2 linked regions of the Medicago truncatula genome follow. Each later gene encodes a partner of the first gene's protein in a complex. Links are inferred from orthologs where the notes say so. Each region holds a gene or a part of one and is shown on either strand. Other genes may lie near its edges.

The links.
Region 2: exosome complex component RRP4 homolog (region 1) and exosome complex component RRP41 homolog share a complex: the UniProt entries of both Arabidopsis thaliana proteins name them as parts of the RNA exosome complex. The link is inferred for Medicago truncatula from reciprocal best matches to the Arabidopsis thaliana genes RRP4 and RRP41.

The regions. Positions count from the first base shown.
Region 1 is NC_053045.1:58,351,738-58,367,770, forward strand, and holds exosome complex component RRP4 homolog, read left to right. Parts: upstream 1-8,965; 5' UTR 8,966-9,085; coding exon 9,086-9,342; intron 9,343-9,466; coding exon 9,467-9,512; intron 9,513-9,606; coding exon 9,607-9,696; intron 9,697-12,973; coding exon 12,974-13,039; intron 13,040-13,116; coding exon 13,117-13,182; intron 13,183-13,450; coding exon 13,451-13,909; 3' UTR 13,910-14,343; downstream 14,344-16,033. Other genes in the region: protein trichome birefringence-like 4, read right to left, coding at 14,676-15,021, 15,114-15,272, 15,359-15,555, 15,661-15,853, 15,961-16,033. UniProt on the Arabidopsis thaliana protein: Non-catalytic component of the RNA exosome complex which has 3'->5' exoribonuclease activity and participates in a multitude of cellular RNA processing, maturation and degradation events.
Region 2 is NC_053048.1:55,305,703-55,320,735, forward strand, and holds exosome complex component RRP41 homolog, read right to left. Parts: upstream 7,217-15,033; 5' UTR 7,063-7,216; exon of another isoform or gene 6,982-7,062; 5' UTR 6,929-6,981; coding exon 6,875-6,928; intron 6,764-6,874; coding exon 6,717-6,763; intron 6,608-6,716; coding exon 6,547-6,607; intron 6,390-6,546; coding exon 6,351-6,389; intron 6,238-6,350; coding exon 6,170-6,237; intron 5,006-6,169; coding exon 4,927-5,005; intron 4,838-4,926; coding exon 4,801-4,837; intron 4,633-4,800; coding exon 4,516-4,632; intron 4,381-4,515; coding exon 4,295-4,380; intron 3,372-4,294; coding exon 3,282-3,371; intron 3,178-3,281; coding exon 3,130-3,177; 3' UTR 3,120-3,129; intron 3,012-3,119; 3' UTR 2,611-3,011; downstream 1-2,610. Other genes in the region: putative glucose-6-phosphate 1-epimerase, read left to right, coding at 53-109, 207-370, 504-638, 817-919, 1,077-1,176, 1,340-1,548; uncharacterized protein, read left to right, coding at 8,727-9,448, 9,995-10,007; ubiquitin-conjugating enzyme E2-17 kDa, read left to right, coding at 12,272-12,341, 13,416-13,543, 13,769-13,873, 14,704-14,847. UniProt on the Arabidopsis thaliana protein: Non-catalytic component of the RNA exosome complex which has 3'->5' exoribonuclease activity and participates in a multitude of cellular RNA processing, maturation and degradation events.

The sequences.
Region 1 (16,033 bases):
GACAATTAAGAAATAAAAGTTAATATCATGGTATAGTGAAGACAATAATGAACCAAACTTTTACGCTTAGCATAGTAGAAGCAGCCACATTTTTGCTTGTGATTATGAATTCGGCAGGATTCCTTGAGTCCATTGCAAAGGCCGCCAATGGTTATTTGGCAGCTAAATTATTTTTAGATTGGCAAATTGCTTAATTTCTTCTCAAATTCACATGTCTGAAAGGTAACATGCATAATATGTATACCTTCTGATCTGTCAATGTGATGATCCAAATAAGTTACAATAAAAAAACAGACAATAAACAAACCAACATTTGTTTCTTAGTAAATTAAAACAATTACCAACATGGAAACATTTATATCAACAGAGAAAAAGAAACTAACACATCAAAATAACAAACATGTTTTTATAAAGGAAAATATTTGATTTGAGAGTAATGAAAAATGTAGAAAATCATATAGATGTACATATAATAATGGAGAAACAACATGAGATTGGAGTGTTCCGAGGCATGATTTTCAAATTCCAAAACCAAAAATAATTAGTACCAATATAACAAATCACATAAATATTCAAACTTTAATCAAAATAACTTACCAAAGGAAGTACATCAATTGAAAATCTCAAGAACAAATCAAAATAAAAAACCTAAATTAAAAGTAAAAAAATTGTAAATCTAAAAATTACCAGATTTGCTATCTTGTGAGACATTCAATCGCGAATCGTTCTTGATATTGAGACGGTGAATGCGACCATCCAATGAAGTGATTCAGGTTCTAAGAGGTTTTTGATTATGTTGTTGTAAATATCGAAAGCGAAAAGATGTTTCATACGTGAGTTTTTGGCAGAGGTGAGAACAGATGAAGCCTCCGGCATAGAAGGTGCCGGTAGAGTCGAAGACGGTGAGGATGGTGTCGTAACCGAGAGCATTGGTGAAGGGAGGGATGAGAGGAGAAAGACAACGGTTTAAGGGGAAAAGAGGTGGGAGATGAAGAATCGTGGAGAGAGGGAGAGAGAAAGGAGGGTGAGGTCTGAGTCATGGTTCCTAACGAGATAGATATCTGTATTGGAAAAGAAGACATTAATTATTTGTCATTTACAATGCAGTTGAGGGATGAGCAAGAATCAAATTAGATCAAGGGCTGTCATAAACAGGGTTAGATCCAATTGGTAATACTGATTGACGCCTAAAAATGTAGAATTAGGGTTTTAAGTGTGAAGATTGCTTTTTAGGCCCCCTAAGGTTACAAAAATGTCCTTTATAACACATCTGGTATTTAACCACTGCATGTGCATTTTTTATAATTTAACTAGACTTTCCACTTGTAGATGTAGTAGACAAAAAAAAATCTCAATGCATATCAAAGAGAATGAAATAGCAAATCTCAATGCATATCAAAGAGAATGAAACATGTGGTCCAAAATATATGCAGATGTTGGAATTCGAACCTCAGACACCATACTTATTCACCTTAAAAATATTAATTTTTTATCAATAGTGTGTTACTTCATTCTTTTGTTAAAATTATATGTCAATGTTATATTATTTGCTATGTTACTTCATCCTTTTTCTTTTTTTTTACAAAATGCTACTTCATTCTTTTGTAAAAATTATATGTTAATGTTATATTATATACCTCAAAAAAAGGTTTTATTTTCCCTCAAAAAAAAAATGTAAAAGGTTTTATTTAAATAATTTTTCTTTTATCGAATATTTGGCCTTAGCCGTAAATGATGCCCTTTAACTGTTTGTTGAAATGTTTCTTCCACCTGTTTATATAGATTGCAAAATTCTGGTGCATGTTGTGGTAGATATTTAACAAAGAGAGTTCACTTCTAATTTGGATGAAAAGTGTAATATTAACAAAAAAATGTTGCTATAATCTTTCAAAACCCTTTTATTACAATAATAATCTTTCAAAATTGACACAGTTAAATACTGCTAGCTTCAGTAGGAGTTATAATAGTTGGTTGCTCTTTAGGCATGCATTTTTACATTGGTAGGTTCCGGTGAAAATCCTTTCCTTACACTTATATTCAGTTTTTTGGAGTATTGGATTAGAGGATGTGTAACAGTTACATCATAATCTCAATGATGTAGTGAAATATCTACGATTTATCTATTGTCTGATATGGCTGTATGAGTTCAAGTTCCCCACTCACCAATAAGCTTGTCCACAACGTCTCCGGTTGGAGTATTTTTAAAATTTGCATCTGCAAGTTGTGTGTTGATGAAATCGGCTTGCGCTGGACCTACAAACATTATAATCCCTTCAACAGCTGGATGAGAGTAAGCCTCTCTTAGTATCTCTTCAAAATACATTGTCTGCTCAACACACAAAAATAAGCAAAAAAATAATCATTTCTTGTTTGATCATATCATATAATATAGCCAGTGAAGCTAATGAAACTAATACTTCTAAAAAATTTGTTTGCTAAATTCAGGTTTGTTTCTTTTACTTCTATGACTAACAGACGAAAATAGATAGCTAAACTATGCATCTTATGTTTTAAATCTTGCAGCTTTGTATTTTGACTTGTGTAATAAGCATAAACTTTTAAAGTATAGGAAATACCTGATTTGGATTAGAATCCACACTACTTTCAGTGAGCCATATAGGAAGTCCAGTTGCACCAAGATGATCTAGACCTGACCTCATGTAAGCAATGTTTGGCATGCCGCTTGACAAATGGCCTTGCACCCATATAGCCAATAGCATTCCAGTAGTTCCTGATATAATTGGCTGGGCTGGCAACTTGGTCTTGACTGAATTCAATGGTGTTAAACACGTTCATAAACATGCTGGTGTTCGAATCAAGATAGTAAGCTGTTAAATAATATACTGCAGAGGCATTTTTGCCGAGTTTGTCCTCAAAAAACCGGTTGTGGACATTCTCGTTTACAACGTCCCATGCAATCAATTGTCCACTATATCTTGAAACCAAAAATTTCATTCTTTTTGCAGCCGCTTCTCGTAATTCTTCAGGAGATAGGGACTTAAGCCATCAAATGTTAAGCAGAACTGCACGTGTAAGGAACCCGTTCTCCACCCTCATCCACCAAGATAAATTTGCAACAATTTTGAGGAAATGCCTCGATAGAAATCTGCATGAAGTAGCTGCAACATTAAAAGAATACATATCAAAGAGCAAAAAACTATATCAATCCAAATAACAATGTGAATCCCACACTCAAGAATGAAGAAGCTTTAAGTTAACTGTAATTAATCTTTTATCAAATGAACACTTGAAATCACATTTTAGTTAGGACTCTTTGAGGCAATCCTAAAGGTTCAAATTTCCATAAAAAAACAAGAAAAAAGAATCATAGGTTCAAGGACATGATATCTAAGAAGTTTGTCCTTCTAATACTCCAATCACATATTAGGTGATAAACTTATTACTTACTAGATAAGTGACCCGTGCCCTGCACGGGTCTTATAAGCCATAGGTGACTTTAAAATATAATAAACTTTAGATTTATGGAAAAGGTATAAAGGATGATATGTAATAATAATTAAGAACATCTTAGAAGATAGTTACAGATGGATTGTAATGCAAGAGTATTATATATGAAGCCTAGGTAAAAGTAAGGTATTTTATATGTGACTTGTACATCAGACATTTCGAAATACTTCCTCATACACCACATTAGATGTCAGATTTGTGTCATCACCATCTTCATCGGTAATCAATATCTTCAAACCTCCTCTAGATGTAACTCTCGAAACAGCAACATACAATTGTCCGTGAGAAAAAACAGGCGCACGGGAGATATACTCCAACATTTTGTAGTGATTGTCCTTGACTCTTGTTGATTGTCATCGCAAATGATACAGCCAAAGGAAATTGTTTTCTTTGAAATTTAAAAGGGATTCTCACATCGGAGGGTGATAGAGATAGCCTAGGTATAAAGACTCTTTTGTGTCTATCAAGGTGGCAAAGCGGCTAATCTCATCCCCAAAGTCAGCAGAAAATAGGTTAGGCAACCTAACAGCGCCCTACAGCAAAGAAAACAAATGTAAATGTCAAAAATTCGTATAAGCAAAAACAAATGAAGTGATTATGAATACAAAATATTAAAACCCACATCCTCAACATCATATTCGACAATATAGGAGCGGTATTTCGTCCGGAGCTTGTTGACAGCTTTGTCCAATTCAGTAGCAGGGTTACTCACCAAAGATCCAACTAAAGAAACACGAAAAAGAAAAGTTAGAAAAAAAAACCACTATTTTCAGATCCAAACGTAATATGTCATTGCTTTACCAGTCAGTGCATGGTAGGACAAAAGTGTTTCAGGTCTAGCTCTTGACATTTTTTTTCTTGATAATAGACAATTGGTTATGAGAAATAAAACAACCAGGATGAAACCAAGAGAAACAAAAACATGCATGTATATATAGAAAACAAACTTAATTGGGATACCATTCTACATGCATTGAAAATCGAAAAGAGAGGCTGAGTGGAGAGATTGGTGTTTTTCAGACGGCACAACAATAGAAATTAATTAAATGTAGTTCATTGTATCACCAAATTAATAAAAAGGCATGTTAAATATTGCTACGTTTTTTGAATTTCATTTGGTGGAATATTGAAAGAATTAGGGTTAACACTAACAACAATTAATACAACATTTTGAGCGGGAAATTTTTAGGGTTAAGTGATTGCTAACCTAATAACATTAAGGAGTAAGGGATATGACATTACCTCAACAACTTCTTTTCCACCATTTTCAATGCGATTTGTCTGGTATTCGGTTTCTTCTGCAGCGAAGCTACTGGGAGGCTTAACCTTTAAAAAACATGTTTGAAGAAGGTTCAGTGACTTGTTTAACGATGTCATCATTTTTAAGTAAGGAAGTATCAAGTATCCTTTACAAAACCTATGATAAAAGAGGCAATATTGTAACTCCTGCATGACCTCCTACCACTGGAACATTAACTTCTCTTGGATCAACACCAAGTACCTCTGCCTGCAAGAGAAAAGGAAAGTACGCCGCATTTACTCATATTATAGTAGGAAGGAAATTCAATTATGAGATAGAAGAGGAAAGCTATGCTTACCACGAAAGTATTATATACTTATGATTGTGTCATTTTCAACCATTATGTAACTTATGATGAAGAAAAAAGAACTCATCCATATTTCAACCTAATACATATGAAGCAAAGCAGTTAACATGTTTAAAAGTTCAAAGCAAAATGAATTATTATAAAAATGGTGTTAAGCAAATGATGTTCAGAACCAAATGAAAATTACATTTTAGATTTCTCGTCAATTTAGGAAAGAATATGTCTTGATAAAAATTTAGTAAAGAATATTTCTTGACAGAAAAAATCAAAAACATACAAATTTAGAAAGGAAACGTACATCCAATTTGTATAAATACTGAATCATATCTGAAATGAAACAGGAATCTTAAAATTAAAAATCTTCAATAGTTAATTGTTAGCACATTTGCACCGAGGAATTCAAGACATCACAAATCAAACCTACATAAAAGAAAGAAAGAAAGACAACACAATAAAAAAGAGTCAATTAATGGTGTGATACTAAAATTCAAAACATTTATTAGAACCTTGAAACGTTCAGATTCATTAGAACAAGGTTTTTTCTAGATTACCTTTGAAGAATGGTGGATAATTTATCCACCAACCAATGAAAATGAGAAATTTGTTGGTGGGATCAAGATAGTTAATGGATACCACTTAAAAATGTGCTTATGTAGCTAATGTGTATTGGTTGGGGTAAATTACCCACCATTCTTCTATGGATACCCTAGTTGTCACCTTAGAACAATCATTATCAATTTTGGATACTAAAATTCAATACCTGTGCTCTTTTTCTCCTAGTTCAAGTAACTATAACTGCGTGGACCTTCATTAGAACCTACAAAATAAAATAAAAAAAGTTAAGAACATTAAAAGGTAAGAATTAAAAAAAAAAGTTCATAAATTCATCCATAATTCAAGTAGAAGAACATAAACAGAGAAGTAGCATGGTTGCAAGGTATTGAATTGAGACTGAAACACAGATAAAATAACTATTACAAAAACTAACAATGAAAAAAAGAACAAAAACTATTCTAACAATGAAGAAAAAGTTGTAATTCACACAATCACATATCAAAATCAACTATAATTTACACAATATTCATACCCTAATGTCAAATTCGAAATTAGCAAAATTTTATTTTAAAGAAAGTGATTTGTTTTGTTCAAAAAATAGGAGATTTCTGCAACAAAATAGGAACAATTTGTTAACAGGAGTGATTTTTTATTTTTTATGTTTATCTGTTTAGTAGGAAATGATTTTTTTTAAAAAAAAAAAGAGATTTATGCAATTTGATATTTTAAAAAGGGTAAGCAAGTACTGAATTTAGGTTAAAATTAGGGCAACAATTATCATTCGATTAACTTTAATAAATAAAAGATTGTTTCACCTCCGGTGCATAGTACCGGATATGTATTATACATATATATAGTTGTTTTTATCCAAATGAAAAAAATGCTAAAGTGCAGGTGAAATCCCACGAAATTGTTAACTACTATCTTGCATATTTAGGATAATTATCCATGAACACCCTTTTTCATACCACTTTACATACACCCTTCATTATCCAATCACACACTGCCATGTGGTCAAAATCTTTGACTCATCCCATCCCGCCAAAACATTTCCCCTCTCTCTCCAGAGTCTCTGCAGCACCATTATAAGCCGTTGGATTCAATCAAACGGTTGTGATATAGGATACAACATAAATTGAAGTAAAACATCTAAAAACTGTAAAAGATCTTGTATCTTCTTCACTCTGCCTTCTCTTTCGTAGCCACACTCACCCTGCCTTGTTCACTCTACTTCCAAATTTTCTTCTCATTTTCAAAGACATATTTTTACTGAATCAAAACATGTTTAAGCCATTAGTTTAACAAAAATAAATTGTTTTTCATGTGGGTAACAACAACACAATGCAACAAGTCGGCAAAGTGTCAATCATCACTTATAGATATGAAGGTGGGAAATTTGAAAGAAAAAAAAACAGGGTAAGATGCCAACAACATTACTTCTTCAACACATGATTGCCAGAAATAGGGAGAACGTAATATCAACACAATAAGATCAAATAAATCTCATTTGTTAACAGAACAATCATCAAATTTGAGAGAAAAATTGCTAATTTTGCATAATTCCAAACAACACAGTCAAACTCAATATAAAGAGAAAAAGATGGAAGTATTGCCAAAAACGCAATAATCAAAAGAGTCACCATCGGGCACCGGAGAGAGAGAAGGCGGAGGAGAGAGACACCGGGGAAAGAGGGACAACAGCCAGCTATGAGAGAGAAATTCAGCAAGAAGAGAGAGAGAGGGGGGGGGGGGAACACTGTAGCGACGAGGAAAAAGAGACAAAAGCAACGCGAGTGAGTGAGAGACGCAGTGGGGTAGATGTAGTGGGGTCGAGGGTGGTGGATGAAGGTCGTTCAAAGAGAGAAAAGGTGGGGAGAACCAAATGGATGAAGATGGTGGTGCGTGTGTCTGTGATGGCGGCGGGTATGGTGATGTGTGGCCTTATCGGCGAATGTGAAGGCCAGATGGAGTGGCAGTAAACACGTAGGTGAGAAGAGGGAAAGATGGTAGTTTTCTAAAGATTTTACAAAAATGCCCTTCATTTAATGTTAAAATATCAATATTGCCTTGCCACATGGGGGGTGTATAAGGGGAGGTTGCCAGCTAGGGATGTATGTGTATCAGGACTCTACTTTTATTAAAAATGACCATGTTTCTTTTTTATACCAATTGTAACGTTGTTGTTCCTTCTTTGAAATAACATTTTACATGAAATCGCACCTAGTAATCAACTTTTCAATGGTGGCATTGAAAGTAATCTGACATTACAACGCTCTAATGGTGGTAAAAAGAGTATCCTCCCATGCCAGTGCCTCCCCAAGTGCTCTCTCCGCCAATGTCGACGTCGAGTCGGAACAGGTAAACGTTTTGAAACAAGTCGCATGCTACAGACAAATTGTTGGTGGTGATTCTGCAGTGGTTGGCAACATGTGGCAGCAACCAATTCTGGTGTTATAATGGTGGTTTGGGCGGCAATGACCAGGACAACGGCGGAGACAATGTTGCATCTAAGGTAACAACGACAGTGCTTATTGCTTGTATGACGGTGCCGACCAAGAGACGTGTATGCACAAACGTGTTGAAGCTTGTTCATGCGGGTTAAGAAAAGAAAACACCCGTGTTCTGTTTTCCTCTGTTTTTCAATGGCTCTGTTTCACTGTGCATGCTTCTTCTCTTATCATTCTTTTTCTTCACATGTTTCTCATCAAAACCTAATAATCACCATGTAAATGACTCATTCTCCCTTTCGTTCCCTCTAGTCTCTAACCTCTCTTCAAATCTCCATAAACTCCAAACCAAAAACCAACCAACAATTCACAACACTTTCATCTTCATCTTCTTCTTCCATAAATGTTAAATCATCTTTCAAATATTCTATGGCTCTTGTTCTGACTCTTCCCATTGGCACACCACCACAACTTCAACAAATGGGTATTGGATACAGGAAGCCAAATTTCATGGATTCAGTGTCACAACAAAAAAGCACCGCAAAAGAAACAACCTCCTACAACTTCATCGTCTGATCCTTCTCTTTCATCTTCTTTCTTTGTCCTCCATAAGAAAACAGAAACAAAATATATGTCCGGTACTTATGTACCGGAGGTGAAACAGTTACATTAAAAAAAATGCACATACGGTAGTTAAGTATAGGATGTGTTATTTAGGGCATTTTTGTAACTTTAGGGGGCCTAAAAAGCAATATTCTTTAACTAGGATTAGGAATAAGTTAGATCAGTATGACCCAAAACCGGCCCACCCAACCCGAAGGGACCCACCTAAAAAAAACCACATCTCGGACAAAAAACAAAAGAAAGTATAAACCCTGTTAAAAACCTTGCGCCGTGAATTATTAAATTTGGACACATCGAAGTGAGAACCGAAGAAGCTGTGCCCTAGCTACCACCCTCAATCGCTTTCCTCCGTCGACTGAACTAAGCCACCGCAACACCGCCACCATGAGAGGGATTCATTTACAGTTGAGTCAAACTCAAAAGCTCCGTCTACAGAAGGCTCTAGAACACCTCGAGTCTCTCTCTTCCAAGGTCAATTCTGATTCTTCAGTTACCATTGCCGATTCCATCCCCGTCAACCATGAAGACGGCGTACTCAAGGGACACGGAACCGCTGATCTCGACGGCGAAGTCGTCGCCACTCTATGTGGTGTCGTTGAACGTGTTAACAAGCTTGTTTATGTCCGCGCTTTACGCTCAAGGTAATCAATCTTACTTCTTAACCTACGAAGCACACACTGACACGTCTTCATGAGTTCATAGCTTCTCCACTTCCTTAATTGTTATGTTTTTGTTTGTTAATGGAATATTGTGACTTAATTTTAGGTACAAACCTGAGGTTGGTGACATTGTTATTGGGCGTGTCATTGAGGTACAGTTTTTATAGTTTCAACCATTTTCTGAATTTGATTTGATAATGTTTGTTTAACTCTAGGAATTTTACTGGTCTTTGTTGTGTTGTGTAGGTTGCTCAGAAGCGTTGGAGATTGGATATTAATTACAGTCAAAACGCGTATTTGATGCTTTCTGCTATGAACATGCCTGATGGTGTACAGGTATTTTGCAATCTCCCTTATGCAGACAACGAGAACCGTTCCTTTTTCAAAATTTAGGACCATTTCCTTAAGAAATTTTATCATAGTTAGTTATTTTTCAGAAATGAAAGATAAAAAAACAAAAACTATTTCAGTGTGTGGATTACAATTTATCTAATTTTTGACAACTGTGATAGCATTGCAAGTATTGATGAGTTTTTTGCTGTATTACTGACCTGGTTTCATCCTGGAGGTTATTTGACTATAGTATGCACACTCACGTGCTTAGTAGTATTAATTACAATATATGTCAAACTGTGTGTTTCTCTATGCAGGGGTAGTAATTTTTAATTTGCTCCCTCGGTTAAAAAGTGTTCAATTTAGCCTGTCATATAGTTTCAATTGTATTCAACTTCTGTCCTGTTAACTATTGCCATTGTAACTCCATGACATTACATTCAATAGAGATATTATGAAGTATAGGAACCAAATTGAAAAGGCTGTCATGTTTAGGGCATGAAAATACAGTAATTATTTTTAATATACAACAACAACAACAACCAAGCCTTATCCCACTAAGTGGGGTCGGCTACATGGATCAAATGACGCCATAGTAATTATTTTTAATATACGAGACAAAATTTTCAATTTGGTCCTGACACTTAGAAGTGGTGATAGCACCTACGGGCAGTGTAGAGTTTAAATTGAAACGTGAAAACTATTTTGTACAGTTGTATGCATCTTGGTAGTCAATAGCAGTGGTTTGCGACTCCGGCGCGATCGTGCGCCGGAGCATGGTTGGCCGCTGTGGTGTGGTTTGGTGCAGCTCATATTAAGGCTGCGGCCGTTCTGTGTGTTCGCAGGTCGGTGGGTTTGCAAACGCACATGCGATTTGCCTAGAAACACCCATATTGCCTTTAATTTTTAAACGTTATTGGGTATTATGGGGTCTTTGCACGTGAAACCCAGTATTCTTCTCTCCTTCGTGTTTGCAGAGAACATCTCTCTTCTGCAAGCTTCATGCCTCCTATTTTTGGATTTTTGATGTAATTGATTCTCCAATTTTTTGAAGAAGTAGCTGATTCTCAATTTTTTTGGGGTTTTTTTTGATGAAATTGATTCACCAGTTTAGTGTTTGATTACAAATTGTTCCATCTGTAGTGACTTTGTTCGGTTCTTTGTCGTGTTCTCTAGTTAGGAAGGGGGAAAGTTATTGGTTTTTTGGCTGATTTTTTTACACTAGACCATGTTGAGAGGCTTGCAAAATTTCTACAGTTTTGGGAGTAAAGGAGTCTGAATAATATTGCAAGTTTGTTGTTAGGTTTGCTTTGGGTGGATGAATTGGCATTTTGAGAGTAAGAATTAAAAGTGATTTTGTAATGGAGTGACCATGTGAAAGTAGTAAGGTGGATTTTGAGTTTTTGGGTGGTGATCTATTTTTATTGGTTGGGTTGTGCTAGATAAGTTATTGAGCTTATGCTATTGGTCCCTTTATGTTTCTAAAAAGAGGAGACACAACAAAATAATGCATGTAAATTCGATTTTGATATTTTTCTCAATTCTCGCCAACATGTCAAAACATTGACCACAAGACTATTGATATCTAAGAAGGATGGAATATTATCCAGGATGCTTTCAAGAAGCTCGAGAACATTCTAGAAGCCGCACTTTACCTCTAAAGACTACATGGTGATATATACAATCATCCATAAAGACTAGAAGCCGCACTTTACCTCTAAAGACTACATGGTGATATATACAATCATCCATAATATGTGCACCGACTGCTAATTTAGTCATTACTTTTCTCAACAATTGTATGACAAGTACAAGGAAGCATTTCAAGAGTACATCAAATCAACCGTTCTCTCGCGTGTTTCTGGTCAATCATAGCTAATATTGCATCCATTACTTGTTTATTTAATTCATCATATACCAAGTAATAGAAGGATAAGAAGCCAATTTCTTGTTGAGAAGGAAGTTGATGTCTTCGGACATGGTATCTATCAAGATAACTGAAATACTTTGAGCGCTGACATGTCCTCTCTTTGTGATTTGGCCATCTTCTGAGCAATTCTCTTAACAAGAGTTCATCTTTCTTTCCTCGTAAAGATGGCAGAACCGTTGATTTAATGTTGACATTTGAGAAAAGGGAGTGGGTACTCCTACTCATGGATGTTGTAAGGCTATTGCAAAAGGTAGTTAGTTGATGGCAGTCTTACTCATATAAAGCTTCCCTACTATTGCCAAATTCCATTGAAATTCTGAAGTTGGAGATACAGTGGAGGCTTATGTTACTTGGCTTGTGAGAAGAAGAAAAAAAATGAAATAGTGCCACATCTAATAATAAATTACAAAACCATCTTGTTAGTAACAAAGTATAATTTCTTTGTTTTCACATGTCCCACATCGAAAGTAGGTAAGCAGTAGAGAGAACGCTTTGCCTATAAATCAAAGAGTGATACAGTATTGATCAAAGTAACAATTGGGGCCCAATTTCACTATTGTGAATTAATGTGTTGTCCTATTGCCAATTTTTGTTTAAATTGAATTGGTTTAGTTCATTTTTAAATTTTATCGAATGAGATTGGTTTAAGTTCTGGGGCATTGTTTGGCTTAAAATTCTGATATGGGCCAAACAAGAACTGGTAGGACCTCTAGTAAATTTTTGGATCTTAAAAAATTTGATGTTATATAACCAAGTGGGTTGTACAACTGAACTGAACGAGTTGAATCGGTCTGTTCGTTAATTTTAAGCGAGCCGAACACGAGCTAAAAAAAAGGTTTGTTTCGAACTCGAGTAGAGTTTCGAGCTGAACCAATTTTTAACGAGTCGAGTCGAGCTCAGATGCGTTCGATTTGACTCGGCTCATTTCCAGCCCTAATTGGACTTAAAACATTATTTATGACCTGAATTGTGTATTTGGTCTGGATCAACATTTGATGGTCATCGAAGTCGGTCTTCATGAAGTGGGTATACTGATTTAGGTGTAACCTTTTATGCCTGCATGAAGAAACACTAATCACGCAAGAAAAAATATTTAAAATTTAAACTTCAAAGAAACTAATAGAACAGGGTGAGGGGTACAAACAAATGCAATTGTAAAACAATTATGGTCATCACTTATCAAGCAGTTAAGTCCTTCGAGTTTTTATAAGCACAAAAATAGGAACAAGGTGCAATCATCTTCAGTTTTGATTGGGTCTATTTATTTTTTTATATGCTGTGTCATATTTTTGGATTTCTTTTCCAATTAAGCTTGAAAATCCCTCATTTAGATTTTTTCTTTCCACTTAGAGGCGAAGGACAGCTTTAGATGAGCTAAATATGCGCTGTATTTTTGAGGAGGCAGATGTCATTTGTGTAAGTGCTGCCATGTTTCTTAAAATTTACTTTTTATGAAGGAAATAGCAGTTGAGTATCCTAAACTATGTCCACAGGCTGAAGTTCGTGGTTTTCAGCATGATGGCTTACACCTTCAAGCAAGAAGTCAAAAATATGGAAAGGTTTGTATTCTTGAAAACCTTTTAAAAACTCATGCTGCTTACAAATATAAAACTGAACGGATTAGAATTACCTGTTTATGATTGAGGTGTAATGCAAGAATCCTGGAATCAGGGGTTTACTTTATTTTGATAGCTATGGCACTTGTAGTGATTTTGTGTATGGTTTGTCACTTGTATTTTGTAATACGTTTTGGGTTCTTAAATTTTATTTCAAATTTATTCTTCAGCCATTTACTACTGTTACTAATGGCTTTGAGTGTTATTGCAGCTTAGTACTGGTCAACTGCTTACAGTCACACCGTATTTAGTGAAGAGGCAGAAACAACATTTCCATCATCTAGAGCAGTACGGTATTGATTTAATAATTGGCTGTAATGGGTTCATATGGGTTGGGGAACATGTTGAAGTCAGAGATGACATGGTAGAAGATCAAGTGAACCAATCTGATCCACAGGTTTTAACTCCCAATAAAAATTCTGTGAGTCTTGAAGAACAAGAGAAAAAGTACACAGCACTGGAGACAAGAAAGTACATATGCAGGGCTGCTAATGCTGTTAGAGGATTATCCACTTTAGGATTCATTATAACATCGGAAATCATCAAGGGAGTTATTGATCTCAGCCTTTCTGCGAATCTTGATATACACGACATGCTTGGTTCCGAGTTCTGTGTTCTGGTTGCCGAAAAAGAGGCAGAAAGGAGAAGCTCAAATAAAAAGAAGCGGTAGATTGTGAAATCGTGGTTAGAAAGCGAAGTTTTATTATCCCTTTGCAGGGGTAAAAATAGGAAAGGAATTATTCTAACTGTAGCAAGTCATTTTCTTCAATCATGTTTGATACTTTGTAGGGTGGCACTTAAAAGTTGGATGGACTTATTTTTTATGTTAAAGCTCTTGCACCTGCTGGGAGATGTGGGGTGAAGTGTTTTTCTGATTGGCCGTTGCCACCTTGCTTTTCAGGAGTGACACCTACAACACATGTCTGTTTTTTTTGTTTTTGTGCATCATCTTATATTCTTATGGGTGGTTGTCTATGAATCTTCCTTTTGTATACTAAATCATGGCAAAATGAGTATTGATATTTTCATACTTTTTCTTTCATTGTAAACTCAGACCAAAATTTTATGGAGCTATTTAAATTGTAGTGGTCTATTATGTCGAAATAGTTTATCTCAAACTTAATTTATGTGGGTTAAATAGAACGTTTTCATTGAAGGAGTCTTTCAAAGTTAAATTCATTATATCCGTCATCAACTTACGTAAAAATAAAAACAGAAATCATGCTATATAGTTAAAAGTATACTGGAGAAATTACAAAGTTGTGTATCAAAGTATACACTTGTTTTGAATCTAACTATGGAACTGTAACAAGGATATGAGTATTCTTGTTGAGTAACAAGTGCTATCCTGCAATGTTCAATCACGGCTATAGGTGTGCAAGTTACTTTCCTAAAAATTATGTCTCTCTTACACTAAGTAAGATCATATCGCATGGTTAATAATTTGTAGAAGCAATAAAATTTGTGTGAGCTACAAGTAGAGTGGAATAGAGGAGTTCATTCCAAGAGTCTGGAATTCCAGGAAGGCACCAGTGGCTGCAATCTTGGACCATTTTACGGCCTTTGCTATCACTGAAACCTGGTTCTCTATAAATTGAAGGATGCCCATCTTTTCTGTAGTCTGTCATTTTGGTAATGTTGAGATAAAACACTGGTGTCTTCATCTCTGCTATAACATCTTCGACAATTCCCATTGTCCATGGATATGCTGCAAGATAGCTTTCATTTGTAATGGGTTGTCTCTCCCCATCACATTTACCACCAGAGTTCCATTGCCCCCCTCTGCAAATTTCAGCCATAGAATCAATTACTTAACTACATAATAGATAAGAGATGTAAAGATAAAACAAAGTAGAAGTACACATTCTTCTTACTTGTAGTGAGAAGCTGAAAATCCAGTGAAAAAAACCCTTGTACGTGTGCTATCAACTGTGGAATCAACCCACTTAGCCCATGTCTTCAGTGCCTTTTGTAATGCTTCAGAAACTTCTAATCTGTCATAGACATGATTACCTTCCTGAAAGTAGTTTCTACTGCAAGAATGAAAATTGATAGTAGTTAGCCTTTGAACTACTTATTAATAGTAAAAGAATAGTGTCTTAGCAGAATTGATTTTTACCCATTTTTTGTCTTGTCATGATTCCACCAGTGTCCTGTGTTGAAAATGATTATATCAGCATCATAATACTGAGACTTGGAAGCTTGAATCATGTCAAGCCTAAGAGTATCTCTTTGAGGAACTTCATCGTCACGTGACACTTTCCATTCTTGTACAAGAAACGGGGATTTCACAAAGTCTATGGAGCATCCATAATCCTAATTAACATCACAACATGTCAAAAACACAATATCAAACCTTAAACCTTAAGCAAGCTAAAGTTCTATCAAATTTCTCAAGAAAAACAGCCAACACATCCTTACTTTGAATTTGAAAGAAAAGAAACCTTGAATCCTGAATTCACGGCGTCCGGAAACTTCATAGAGTCTGCTCTTATCTTTAAGAGAAGCTCTCAAAGCACACACCAAAGATTGCCACATGTTCCTGTTCAAAGAGTCTCCTACAAACACCACTCTCTTACCTCTCAACATGTGCAACATTTTCAACCCATCAAACCTATATGTATTTATCCAAGAAAAAAACTTCAAATTTACAACACAAATAAATTAAAATGAACATGGTACATTGGTATGTCGAATTTTACAAGGTAGAAATTATAGAACCTTGGAATTTGACAACCATGTGGCTTCCAACGATATTTAAGAAACTCAAAATCTGAACGTCCATTCTTGAAAC
Region 2 (15,033 bases), on another chromosome or scaffold:
AGTGGCAAACAGTCATATTTTATTACTTTCTCTTCTTTGCAATTGATTATAGACAACTCCAAAGGCACAAAAAGCAGCACGAGGAGGAATTCCTATATGTTTTCCACAGGTATAATTAATTACTGTTTTGAATGTTCAATCTCAAATCTCAATAAATTTTAACATGCATAACTCATATATCTTAGACCTAAATTTGTTTATAATAGTTTGGAAACTGTGGATCGATGGAGCTGCACGGATTTGCAAGAAATAGAATGTGGGTGATTGATGAAAACCCTCCTCCTCTGCCTGCAAATGATTCCAGCGGGAAATCCTTCGTCGACCTGCTACTCAAATCATCTGAAGAAGACATGAAATGCTGGCCACATAGGTATTAACTTGAACGCCATAAAACCATAGTTCACATGGATATCTACTTTGACGGGTTTCCGTTCTTCTTTTCTATCACTTTGGTTGTTTGAAGCTAACATGTATCTGATATTACTTGTTCCTAATTGTACCAGTTTTGAGTTCCGGCTTCGAGTGTCGCTTACAACAAACGGAGACATAACCCTGATATCACGAGTCAGGAATATCAATGGCAAGCCATTTAGTTTCTCATTCGCATACCACACATACTTACTGGTTTCTGACATTAGGTATGGATAATGCATTATTGTAGTTGACAATCATTAGTTAGCTACACAATTAATTAGCTACACAAATTTGCAAATTGAATATACATTACCTCACATTAACTTTTAATCCAATCATCTTTTTTCTTGTATTGCGAATTGACTGTTGGATTAGTTAGCTCACATTAACAATTATGTACAGTGAGATAAGGATTGAAGGTCTTGAGACACTTGATTACCTGGACAACCTTTCCCAAAAAGAACGATTTACAGAACAAGGAGATGCGATAACATTTGAATCCGAGGTAAATCTTGTGAATTGTATTTATGTTTACAGCATATACATATCTATAGTTCCACGACACAAGTCAAGCTTTAGATTTTCGGTTGAGGTAACTATACCTCTGCATTCCTAGCCTATGAATAAAGAGGTTTTCAAAATTGATTCTTTCTTCCGAGCAGGTGGATCGTGTTTATCTTAGCTCTCCAAATATAATTGCAGTTCTAGATCATGAGAGGAAACAAACATATATTATAAAAAAGGAAGGTCTCCCTGATGTTGGTAAGCGATTTACTATTTAGCGGAACACTGTCTTTCTAGTTCATCCAATGCCACCAACAATAATTTTCATAGCTTGACTTGAAATGTGAACAAGATTTTTAATTGTTAAAAAAATACAATTTCCTTGACATTGGTGACAGCCTTGTTTTTTCTTGAATTGCAGCGGTGTGGAATCCGTGGGAGAAGAAATCAAAGTCGATGACGGACTTTGGTGATGAGGAGTACAAACAGATGCTTTGTGTAGATGCAGCAGTAATAGAGACACCAGTGAACTTGAGGCCCGGAGAGGAATGGACAGGGCGGCTTCAGCTCTCGATTGTGCCATCAAGTTTTTGTGGTGACCGTCTCGGTCTGGACAGAAGTGTTCTTTGAGAGAATGGAATTGTACAAAAGCTCATGTTATCGGAATTTCCGTTGCATTTAGCTATGTAGCATTAAGTTACTTGCAGTATAAGTAAGATACTAAATAGCAGTGCTTTCTAGGAGTAATCAGGTTTTCTGTTGTGTTATTTTCATGCTACAAATACTACTTCTAGTTCTAGAAAGAAAAGCCTATGTTTTTGATATTTTGTGAAATTCCTGAGGTAATAAATCAATAATTATATTGGTATACATAAATTCCAAAAACAAAAAAAAAAGTTGCAAAACCAAAATGTTTGGTAGGTAGTGTTTGAGAGGTTAAGTTTTGACTTGTGACGTCAAAGCTGATTTGGAACATGAGATTTAAATGAGTGATTAAAGAAAGAACGGTAGAGCATTATTTTGGACCTATGGCTATCACAAGAGATAAAAAAACGCAAGCGGTTTTGTTTTTTCTGATGGTAAAAAACAAACAACCAAGTATATAAAACACAACTTGGTTTTCTTTTTTGTCGTAACTAAACAAGTGGCATGAAAAAAACAAAACCTAAGCACTTAGACAAGTGGTATTAAAGAAAGAATTATGAGAGCAATGCACTCTTCTAGGTACATTCTCTTTTAATTAGTTGAAATTTAAACCAATTTCACTAAATATAAAGAAAGAATTATGTGATAGCAACGGACTCATCTAGTTACTTTTGGATGGAGGGAGGCTTATGGCATTTTAGCTTATTTAATTATTTGTTGGAGAAATTTTTCAAGTGGTTACTTTTGGAGGGTAGGGAGACTTACGGCATTTTAGCTTATTTATTTATATACTTTCTTTGGAGTTAATTGTATTTAGTTAATTTTAAGTGGTTTATTTTTAGAACTAACATTGTGTTCGCTAATAAACGAGGTACCTGCTTGGCTAAGGTGAAGATATGTCAACAAAATACTAATTAGAGAATAAATGAGACAACTACATTTTCAAATTATACATAAGGACCTAGAAGTAATGAAAAACAACATACAAGTTGACATAGATGTTATTCATGCGTGATTTAGTAGACCTACTTGAATTTAAAATGAGAGTTTGCTAAGAATAATGTGTTATATATATATAGTTTGTTGTTAACTCCTCTCTAAAGAGTCATTCAATACACAGCTCATAACAAAAAAACTACTTCGATCATGTTCGTCAACAGCGAAATGAAACACCTATTGAAATTTTTTGGTATAACAACAATTTGAACTGTAAATATTTCCAGCCCGATAAATCAAAGGAAAGATGGGGCAAAATTTTAATTCAAGCTTGGTTAAATGAAACAGAACACTGTTGTAATGAGTTCAATGGTATCCTGAAAACTAGGTGACAACAGCATTTAAGCACGTTCACCTCTACTTGTTCCTGCCTGAGTCAGTACCGTATGCCAACAATAGAATTCTAATAAATTTTTTTGAAGAAAAACTGCATAACTGACGAAAATAAGAACCTGCAGTTCAGGAAAGATACGACCATCAGCAACAACCACCATAGCATCAGGTTATATGTATAACATGAAATAAACCAACATGGAATGCAAACAAAAAGGAAGCATTACTTCTATAAAACTATGAACCCCTGCGATACTCAAGTTGCTTTGTGTTCTCCAGTAAAATCTGTCAATCAATAAAGAAATTGGGAAGTCAGCTATGAAATGAATATGAACCATGTTTTTAGTTTTTACTACTATATCAATCACATGAATGAGACAGATTCTTACTTCTCGGATGTAGTTTGCAATTGCTTTGCATCCTTCCGTGGCCAGTTGCATAACATTTTCCAATATATCAATTGGTAGTTTAGAATCCATCTACAGTAAATAACGAAATAAATTAGTCCAAACAAAATTTGATGTCCCCTAATCCAAAAATGAAGTAAAAGCCACACCCAACTGAACGCCGCTCAATCAAACTATATGCTTTCCATTCTAAATTATGAAACACGGCAGCTAGTTCGTACGCAAGAGAAAATACAATGAAAGAAACTGGTGAAGAAAATAAATGCACTGCCTTCAACAAAATATGTTACAGTGATCTATTTCTGTTAAAAGTTCAAGTTCTCAAATCTTAATCAGCTTTTATGATAACAAGTGCACACACTGAAGTCAATAGAGGCCGCTATTGCGGCGTTGTGTATAGTACAGTTTTAGAATATCAGTCTAAATTCGGAGAGCTAATGAAAAATATGCAATCAAGAAAATAAAATATGTTGCTGGAAAAAAATGGAGGTCTGGGAAGTTTAAAAAAGTATAACAAAAGGTAAGGAATCTTTGTATTTGGTCCCCCGGAAATGAGGGACACACTTCCATAGGGGCATAGTATGGAATTATAACATGCAATATCACAAAGTATGCCTTGACTTTCTAACAGGACTATAACTCCTATTTTTTCCTCTATAGTGCAGTTCTCACTTCATAGGAGTCAAATCAATAATCTAGGTCTAAAGATGAGAACAATTTTGGAAGGAGGGACGGAAAATGCCGACAGCCTTTATGTGACTGCTAATTGCCAATAACAGAGCAAGAGAGAGAATTGAAAGAGAGATAGGTCCTAAAGATCCTAAAGCCTCTATACAAAGGGTAAATACCTGCAGTAAGGACATAATAAACTTTCACATTTAAGCAAGACACTACACAATCCATAACCTAGGACCAGGTTACGAACATAAATAAACTCATTTTTTTCCAAGTTAATTTACTTCCCTGACTACAAAACAAATATGGAGAAAATTTACCTGAAGAAGGGTCACTTTATCTAACTTCGGCAAAATTCCTACAGTTACATCAGGACCCCCAGCACTGTCTTCTACATAGTTCAAATCTGTCCATATTCATTCAGCAACTTTCAATTATTATGATAAACCATGCAGTACTAAATCGAAAGTTCACTATTGCAAAAAAAGACAAAGCACCCTAGCTAAACACCCAGTTAAAATTTTCAGTAAAACATACATACCAAGCAGAGGGGTGCTATTGAGGTATCCAGCACTACAGGACGTTACAAGATCAAGCATAGGGATCCCAGCATCAGCTAGAGCCAAAGTTGCAGCATTTATACAAGCAGACCTAGTTCCTACAAAAGGCATGTTACGAACAAAAGTTATATAAAAGTACAGAGACCCGTTTTAAATATTGCTAACAATTAACAGGAGATTTTTTTAAAAAGAGCACAAGAACAAAAATAAAATACATTAACAAGATGAAAAAGGATCACAAGATCCCAATATCAGGCATGAATTACCTCCATCTGCTTGGAGAACTTGGACATATATATCTATCTGCAAATTAAATAGCCAAATCATTTCAAAAAGAAAATACACAATTTACAATGATTAAAAAAAATAAGGTTCAGAGACTATAATAGAACCTGGGAACGGGGCATTAAATGTGTCAATATGCATTCTTCCATGGTTTGTCGAATAACCAGAGAAATTTCAGTTGATCTCCTGTAGCATGAGCAAAAACTTCAATCAAATATATAAGAAACAAACAAGAGGCTGTCCCATACCAAGGGTTATGGAACATTGCAAGAACAACCAATCTAATAAACTCTGAATGACAAACAAATGGAAGGAATATTTATATCTAAATAAAAAATTGAGCACCAAGTTTGTTAGGAACAAAGGGAAAGAAATGGATAATTGATAGAAAGAAATGAAGAAAGAAAAAATTGAACACATTTTACTTTAAGAATGATAATAGGAGATGAGACTCGCTTCGCTTCTAATGGTTTCACTTTCACAAAACTCCTTTGTCCTTTCACAATAAAACAAACACATGTATTGGATCCCTCTCCCATCCTTATGTCTCCTATACATACTTATCCCTTTAAACTACTTAATTTCTCTACTAACTAACTATTTAGTTAATTTATATCCCTTCTAACTAGTTAACTTATCTTCTTAACTAAATAACTATAAGGATAGATCCTAACAATACCACTCCCCAAAAATCTACCTTATCTACAAGGTTCGCGTATTCCAACAGATAATCTCCTCACCATGTTTCTGCTAAAGGTTCCTTCAAAATCAGCTGGTCCCTGGTAAGGTTCTCAGAGTTCAATGATCAGCCGTGCCTGTTTCCAATAAACCGTTAATATTTCCAGCTAAGCTCATGTATTGAGCTGCTCAACTAGAGACTTTTCTGAAAGATAAGCTGCTAAACCATAATAACCCGTCATACAAGCAAGGTTGGCAGCACTTTGTTTACCAGGGTTTTGTGGAGTTGGATCCTTGACAAAGGCTTTACTTTGACAATCAACAGGCTTACTACCATTTCCTCTCTTAATATGTTACCCTATTCACTTAGAATTTCAACCAAACCAGCATTTACATTTCATCACAACAACAACCAAGCCTTACAAAAAATCCCAGCAGAACAGGAAGACGTAATACAATTCTTAAATTCCACACCTCTTTCGTAGTTTAATTCTTACGTGTGCAAAAAGATGGAAATGTCTAATTCATAATTGCAAGTTATTCTCAAGAGTAATCATATTATTTCTACGCTCACTCTTGTCCTATCAGTACAGCAGTACTATATCAATTAAGTAGGAAGTATCAAGATCAGGCAAAAAGACTGGGAAATTAAACAAGTAAATAAGAAATAACCTGTCGCCCTTTGGTTTCCTCATGCGATCACCAGTGCTAAAATTAGCCATGCTGTATTCACATCGAACCTAGACATGGAAAGAAGAAAAAACATGATTAAATAAATTTTCAGTGCAATGCATCTAAATAAACTAAGAGTACACCCAATGTATTATATTATAACTTAATAGAAGAAAGATACCAGAGCCTTGTCGCTCATTTGTTGGCTCCTATTTTGCACCTGAAATATATAGAAGAAACTGTAAAAACGGCAAAGTCGTCTAAAGCTCAAAACTTTAGTAACCAACAAAGCTGATTATTCCCTTAGAAAAGATATGAATCCATCTTAAATTTACAAGAACGAACATGCATAAGCAAGTAAAATGGTTATAAAGTACCTCTCTAGGGCCATAAACAGCAGCAATGACTTTGGTATTACCCATCTCGAAAATAGCAGAGCTGGATTTACAATGAAAAAGAAGTTTGTGGTGAAATGCTTTGAATAAATATACTATTAAATATAAAAAAAAAAAAATTAAAAAAAATTGAGAAAGATAAAAGTATCTACCCATCAGCTTTGGATACAGCACCAATCTCTGCTCGAATTTGTCGCATCTAGGATTGCATAAAGAGGAGAAAAGAGACACAGTAAGGTAAATTTGATACGTGAAATTAAAATACAGAAAGAAAATTAATTGAAGAAAAAAAAGGGGAAAACAGCAGTACTTCCATGGGTCGGCGACCATCAGAGCGAAGTCCTTCTGGGCTGACGTACTCCATCTCAGGCAATGTTGTTTTCCGTTACTCTGTTCTTTGATCAAATCTTCCAAACCCTTATGCGAGTTGATAAGCTAAAATAAATAAATTCACTTTTAATTGAAGCAAATAAACATTCTATTCAGAAACCAACAAACCTGTGCTCCGAGGCGGCTCACTGCAGTGCCAACGGTGGTCGGCGGCGGTCTGAGACTTGCGCTTTTTTGGTGGAATCAGAGTTCAGAATTCAGAAGAGACTAGCTATAGAATCTTGCGCCAAGTTTTTTCGTTTTGCCAAAACGCTGTCGTTCTATTCATTTTAAAACGAATAATATATGTAAAGTCTCGTATTTATAAGACAAATATGGGACAATGCATAATATATGTAAGATTTGGGGTTTAAATCTCGGTCACTAACAAAACAAAAAAAGAACCTAGCATGATATGATAAGAAGAATAATTTAAAAATTAAATAATTAAAAAAGACATAAAAACTTTTAGTGAATTGGAAAAAAAAAAAAAAAAACTTTGTTATAGTGATATTGGTACGAAGTTGCGTCATCCATTAACAATGATTAATCTCTCAAAGAACCTATGAAGCACACAGATATGAAAGTTAAAAAGTAAACAAAATTCATTGGAAACAACAAATTTTCTACCTTCAAAGAGTTAAATACTTTGTTTTTCTACAATTTTCAATGTTTCTATATTTGTTTTCAACTTTTCAGCATGTGTGCACTAAACACATGATAAAATAAGATTTATTTCGTCACTATCGCATTTTTATCCAACTTCGTTTCATACCATATGTTTATCGTATCTTGCACACCAAACGAACACTTGGTCTATATAATTTGGCTTTATTGCAATTTTAGACTTTTAGTCTCCCTTTTATTCAATTTCTTTATTCTGCTCTCCCAATTTTTAAATTCATAATTTTGGTCCCTTAGTTATTCTAATTTATGAAATTGAATTTCACATTCCGTTGATCGGGCACAACTATAAATGACATGTCACTAAACTCAATGCACACATGGATGTCACTTCACATTAACTATTTTTAAATTCAAAAAAGTTTTATTTATATTAATATTAATTAGAAAAAATCTTTAAAATTGGAATCCTCAAATTTTTTTTGATTAAACTCAACGTAGACGATGTCTTTTAAAAAAAAAAATCAATTCCTTATTTTTTGAAATTTCTTTTACTTATTTATTTGAAATTTACTATTGATTATTGAATATAATATTTACAAGTAATAAAATTTGAGTTTAATAACATGTGGCATCCATGTGTATACTAATTTATTTCCATGTCATCTACAAATATGCCACATCAACGTCAATTGTAATGTTGGATTCAATTTTAAAAATTGAATAAATTGAGGGACTAAAATTGGGAATTTAGAAATAGCGGGACGAAAATCAATTAACCCATTATATTTTTTTAAGGAGGGTAAAAATGTATTTAACAACTAAAAATCCCTTCAAAAATAAAATATTGTTGCATTTTGTCCCTATGTGGCATGGACACAAATAACGTGACAACAAATTTGTCCTCTTCCTGCTCCTTATCCCCCTCTCATGACCAAAGACTTTGTATGTTCCATTCTCTCTTCTCTTCTCTTATCCCTCATGCAACGAACAACCTTCATCTTTTCTTTTTATTTTTCTTCCCATCCAATCCAAGATTTAGATCTAAAACCACCCACATTCAACATTTTCATTATCTTCAACAACATCATCACATTATGATTAATCAATATCAATCTCATTAATCTTATCAAATCAACCTCATAAATCATCATTAACACAAAATCACAATGCAGCAACCATCGCCCGAACAAAAACCAATAATACTACCAAAACCACCTTGTTATAGAGACCCAAACATCCAACAAAAACCGCTTCCAACACGAAACCCTTCTCTCCCACCTTCTTTCCGACCAAAACCCAAGAAACGTAATTATTGTCGCCTATTTTGTTGCACATTTTGCATCATCTTCCTCATTCTCTTCTTCCTTTTCATCCTCGCCGCCGCAGTTATCTACATTCTCTACCAACCTTCCATACCAGAATTCCACCTCGGTTCTTTCCGTGTTCCAAGTTTCAACATAACCACAAAATCCGACGGTGCTTATCTCGACGCAAACACGATAACAATGGTGGAAGTGAAGAACCGTAATGCAAAAATGGTGTGGCGTTTTGAACAAAGTAGTGTTCAGATATGGGCAGATAATGGTGATTTGAATTTAGGATCGACGAAGGTGGCTGCGTTTGATGTGAAGGTGAAGAATAAGACGGCGGTGAAGGGGGAAACGAAGGTTAGACATGAGGAGTTGAATGAGAAACAAAGGAGGAAGTTGAAAAGTGCTTTTAGTAGTAAAGCTTTGGTGCCTAGTGTTGAGGTGAAAACAAGAACGAGTGTTAGGGTTCAAGGTTGGAAATCCATGATGATTGGTGTTACTGTTGTTTGTGGTGATGTTACTTTGAGACAGATTCAAAATGGTGACATGCCTCCTTGTTCCTTCACTGTATTCAAATGGTAATGCATGGTAACGCCATAACTATTCTATCTATGTTATATGATGACCCTCTTCATCACTTGTTTAGTTAATAATAATCTTCATTCATGTTATTCCATTTGTTTAGCATTTCATCTTCAAATTTTATTGGTTTTGTTTAGGGAAAGACTTGTTAGTTGTGTCATGTTCTCCAATGAAAATGCGGTAAAACTTTTATCAAACCATTTTTCAAAAGGTGACAATCTGCAAGATCAGACTATCCAAATTTCAACCTTAAAATGTTAATATCAAACAAAAATAAAAAACTATTTTAAGATTTGAACTATTCAATCTTGATTGGGTGGTCCCATTTCAATGTGTAAACTTTCAAGTAGAAACAAAACATAAAAACCACCAATTCAGACATACACTACGTTTTACCTATAATGTAGCTTTGAAATTTGCTTGGTTTATTATCATTTGTTTTTGGATGACCTTGTATATATATGTTTACTTGTATATTTTTCATCAAATGACTTGCTATTCTAACTTAAGTTGTTGATGGATTTGTTTATGATTGATTACAGGATCAAAATATGATGAGTTGGGGATGTGTTATTATACAAATCTGGATATGGATTTGGCAGATTGATCGATGTTCATTGCGCAATTCAGAAATGAAGGTTTTGTGATCATATTGGATATCTAAATTATTTTTTTGTTACTTCTTTTTTCTCTGTTAAGAGATGAAGGAAGAATAAAATGAAGAAACATGTTATTTGCTTGGAAAAAGAAAAGGGTCTCATCTTCAGCAGTTCAACTTGCTGCTTTGGTTCTCCCAAATGTGTATTGGGAATTTAGGATGTACATAATTCGATAGGTTGTGTACAGTATCAAATTATTATTTAGTATTAGATCTAATGTGATTGTTGAAAGGATCAATCACTCAATCCCTCTAGAAAATGATAGTGACTTTGGAAGTCTCATTCTTGAGGATATATTGTTGGCTTTTGTTTCCTTTCACCAATCTAAAAAAATAAAAAATTGAGAAAATGTTATAGTTCTTCACTTTGTTTTAATAAAAAAAAAAACATAATGTGGTGGGTATGCAACTTGGATTTGTCGAGGAACAAAGATGCCCCCTCATCCCCTCTTATTAATTAACTATGAGAGAATTGAGAAAAGGAAATAATCAGGTAGACAATTAAACAATGTTACCTTTTTAAGGTGTATGTATCATTCTCTTATGAAACTATGGTAATGGGAGAGCTTGAGGACCAAGACTACCTTGAGAATCAAAAGGTGAAATATATATGCCTATGGTTAGTGGCTAAGAGAAGGATATGAGATCTTGACATGTGATATATCTTGACAAATATGTTGTATCTGTTTTTTTTTTTTTTTTTTTTTTGTCAAGTAGTCTAGTGGCTAGAGCTCACACAATTTAATTGTGGAGTGTCCGGGATTCGAACCTCGGCTCCTGCATATAATATGCAATATCCCTACCAACTGAGTTAAGCTCACGGAATTTTTTTTCTTTCTTTCTTCCTTGACATGGATCAAATGCAAATTTTATGAGTATATATGTGTAGTTTGTGATATATGTAAGTTCATTTTATGAGCAATGTCCTTCTCTTGGTCCAAAAAGAAAATTGACATTGTCAATTACTTCAAATTAGTCTATTAAGAAAATAATGTTGTAAATCGTCATAATCCTGGTAGGCCTTTGATCAAACTATATAATTTAACCATAATGCTATATATTAACAAAGAACATTAATACGTGTTTTAAAATTTTAAAGGAATTGATTAACAAATTCAAAATAATAAACTTTTTTTTTGGCAACCCGTTTTGAAGCCTAAAATCTTAGCTTGGTTGTTGAGTCCGACCTATCTTAGAGTACGGGATCCATACCTAAATACAATTTTGAGGAATATTGGAGGAGTAATGACTAGGGCAATTAATACTTGTTTTTTCCCTCGTATTTTCATCCATTGAGAAATCTCCACCTTAAATCCACTTTTGTTTTTTAATATCAAAGTCTCTCTCCCCCAACTAAATCAATGGTTGAACTTGAAGTCCTCGTGAGCTTAACTCAGTTGGTGGAAATAATGTATAATATATGTAAGTTTGAAGTTCAAATCCCGGCAAAAAAAAAAAACAAGGGTTAAAATAGAGATGTATATAAAATCTCATGTGATTGGAGACAATCGTTTCACAATGTTCATTTCTTTTTTCCCTAAAAAAAAAAACGTTCATTTCTTTTTAAAAAATATCAAAAGACAACAACGTTTTATGTTTTAATTTTCTAAAATAAGTTTTCCGTTAAACTTGGTAATAAAAAAATATGGGACTCTCTGATTGATTCTTTATGATGGAAAGAACATGGTGTGCCTTGGTGCCAAGTGACTGAATTCATGAGTGCTTACAACAATGCAGTTGAAGGTGAGATTAATTTTAATATATCAATGTTAAAATGACCCATGTCTATCACAAAACTAATAAATTTGTGAATAAAAAAAAAAAACGTTATTCAATCATTAACTACTCATATAACTGAGCTTATTGTTGATGATTCTAAAGTTACGTCGGTCACCGCCTTAATTTCTACATAGTTTTCCATCTTTTATGGGCTTAGGCCTATTGAATTAAATACCCAAAAATATGGATTAGCTGAAAAACATTATGAAATAATTATTAATTAATTAATTTAATTTTTTTCTTTTCTTATAAAGCACCACTACCACTAATTGATTTTTTCTTTCCCTTTTCTTGTTTGGTTGAAGAGGCAGGTCTCCTTTCCCTCTCTCTTCAACTTTTTTACTGTTTAGATCGAAAAACTTCGAAGGGAAATTCCAATTCCATGGCCTCCAAACGGATCCTCAAGGAACTCAAGGACCTTCAGAAAGATCCTCCAACCTCTTGCAGCGCTGGTAATTTTATTTTTTTTGTCTTCCCTCCAACCCCATTTTATGCTTTAAACACCCCTCATGCTTGGATCTATGAATTTTTCACTTTTATCTTTATGGGTATTCATCGTTTTTCCATTTGTTTCATGGGTTTGTTATGTTTTTCTTGATTTCGTTTTGTGTTGCTAGTTTGTTTAGGATCTTTGATGCTTTATGAATGATAAGCAACGATTTATAATTTTCTTGTTTTTTGTTAATATTGTTAAAGGTGTGATTTTTTTGTCTGAAATTTTAATTCGTTTTAGAAAAAGTTTAGTATGTTTGGTTGGATTCACGTTTCAGCAGCAAAATTTGTTTCTAGAGTTGTAAAATTGATCTTGACTTATTTGATTGTTTTCGAATAGAATTGATTTTGTTTCTTGAATTAATTACATGTTTGATTTCACTTTTGGAGGATACAAAATTGATTTCATAGGTTGGAAATTGATTTTGACATGTTTGGATGTTTTCAAGCAGAATTGATTTTGCCTGAAGAATTTATTTATTCTAATTTGAAGCTAGAATTTTTAGGTTTTGATTTCTACAATTGATTTTAGCCTTGAATTTATTTTTCAATCCACTTTTTCATGGATATGTTCAAACTTCAATCATAAATTACTTTATATTCAACTCACTTTTTGTCACAATCAATTTCACGCAATCAATTCATTCAAAATCAATTTGTGTCAACGTAGAACTAATCAAATGCATCCCAGAGCTGAAAACCTGTTTTTGAACTTTAAGCGTTGACCCTCTATTGCGTTCTATTAAGAATTATGATGGATTATAGAAGCTAATTCAGTTATATCTGTCTGTGTTTGTGAAGTCCAATTAGATGCATGTCTTGTAAGATAACTATTGCTTTAAGATAAAGCTGATTTTATCTTCCTAATGTTTGCAATTATTATGTTTCTTGAGTTGCAAAAATGTATTTATCAAACAATCAGATGCAAATTGTGTTGAGTCAGTACATATTATTTGAAGTCTGTTAAACATTTTTACAATATTTTCTGATGCAAAGTTTGTTTTTTCTTGTGTGTTTATCCACCACCTTCACAGGCCCTGTAGCGGAAGACATGTTTCATTGGCAAGCAACTATAATGGGTCCCCCTGATAGCCCTTATGCCGGAGGAGTTTTTCTAGTTACCATTCATTTTCCTCCTGATTATCCATTCAAGCCACCCAAGGTATTGGACTTTGTTTTGCTTGACATATCAGGATTCATATCAGATTTGTGTGTTCATAAAATAGTTGTTTTTAAGCCTTTATCTATCATACTTAACCTCCTCTATTTCCTGGCTGGAAAAAAATTGTGAGAGCTTTTCCAAATACAAGCTTTGATATGGCTAGTTGTGATTTCTAAATCATGCAAAGCACAATTTGTTCAGTTTTAAACCTTTTTTCTCTTGCAGGTTGCATTTAGGACCAAAGTTTTCCACCCAAATATCAACAGCAATGGTAGCATTTGTCTTGATATCTTGAAGGAGCAGTGGAGCCCCGCTTTGACAATATCTAAGGTTCTGCCATTGCTTAACTCATTAACTCAATTTTTTTCAAATACACCACTTGTGTTAAAAAGAAATTTTGCAGTACAACAACAATGATAATACATTTTTGCAACTCTAGAATATGCGTGTTTTGGTAGTGAGTCTGGTAACTTTGAACTTTATTAGGTTTACAAAGGAAACTACATATGTAAAACAAGTTGCAAATGCTAAACATTTTTTGAGCATCTTATGATATGTATGTTGATGATGTTTACTCCACATAATCAGGATTACTGATTGATAAATATGCTTTGAAATATCTCAAGATAGCTAGCGACTACTTTACTTGTTACCAGTTTTGCATTTATGATGAATTCAAACCAATTTCAAAAAGATTATTGGTGATGTGTGCAATTGGTCGGACCTTCACAATCCTGATGTTGGACTTTATTAGGTTTACAAAGAAAAATATATATGTAAAGGACAAGCTGCAAATGCTAAACATTTTTTGAGCATCTTGTGATATGTGTGTTGACTGTTGATGATGTTTATTCGGCATAATCTGGATTATTGATTGATAAGTATGCTTTGAAATATCTCAAGATAGCTGCCTGTTTACTTGTAAGGTCTTTCCAGTTATGCATTTACGATGAATTCAAATAAATTTTAAAAAGGTTTTGTTGATGTGATACAATTGGTTGTACGGTCACAATCCTGAAGTTGTCACTATAAATTCCGTTCCCCTTTGTGTGTCATTCTTTTATCATTGCAATGCACGGTTAATTATTCTTTCTGTTGATTTATTATTATTACTGCTGTTTCTTAAGTGGGTGGGAAAGGTTTGTGTTTGGTTATTTCAGGTGCTGTTATCCATTTGTTCCCTGTTGACGGATCCAAACCCAGATGATCCCTTAGTGCCTGAAATAGCTCATATGTACAAGACAGACAGGTCCAAGTATGAGACCACTGCTCGGAGCTGGACTCAGAAGTATGCAATGGGCTAGCAAGAATGTTGGAAGGTTGATTGCTCTTCTCTCCCCTTATATGCTAAAAACTGTCAAAATACCCTACCGGAGCTTCCGGTAAGATTCTGCATTTTAAGCGGGTTGGACGAGCAATCACTTGTTGGAAGTATCTGTTCCTTTAGTTCCATTTGTTAAGTGTCATGATGTATAATATCATATTATATC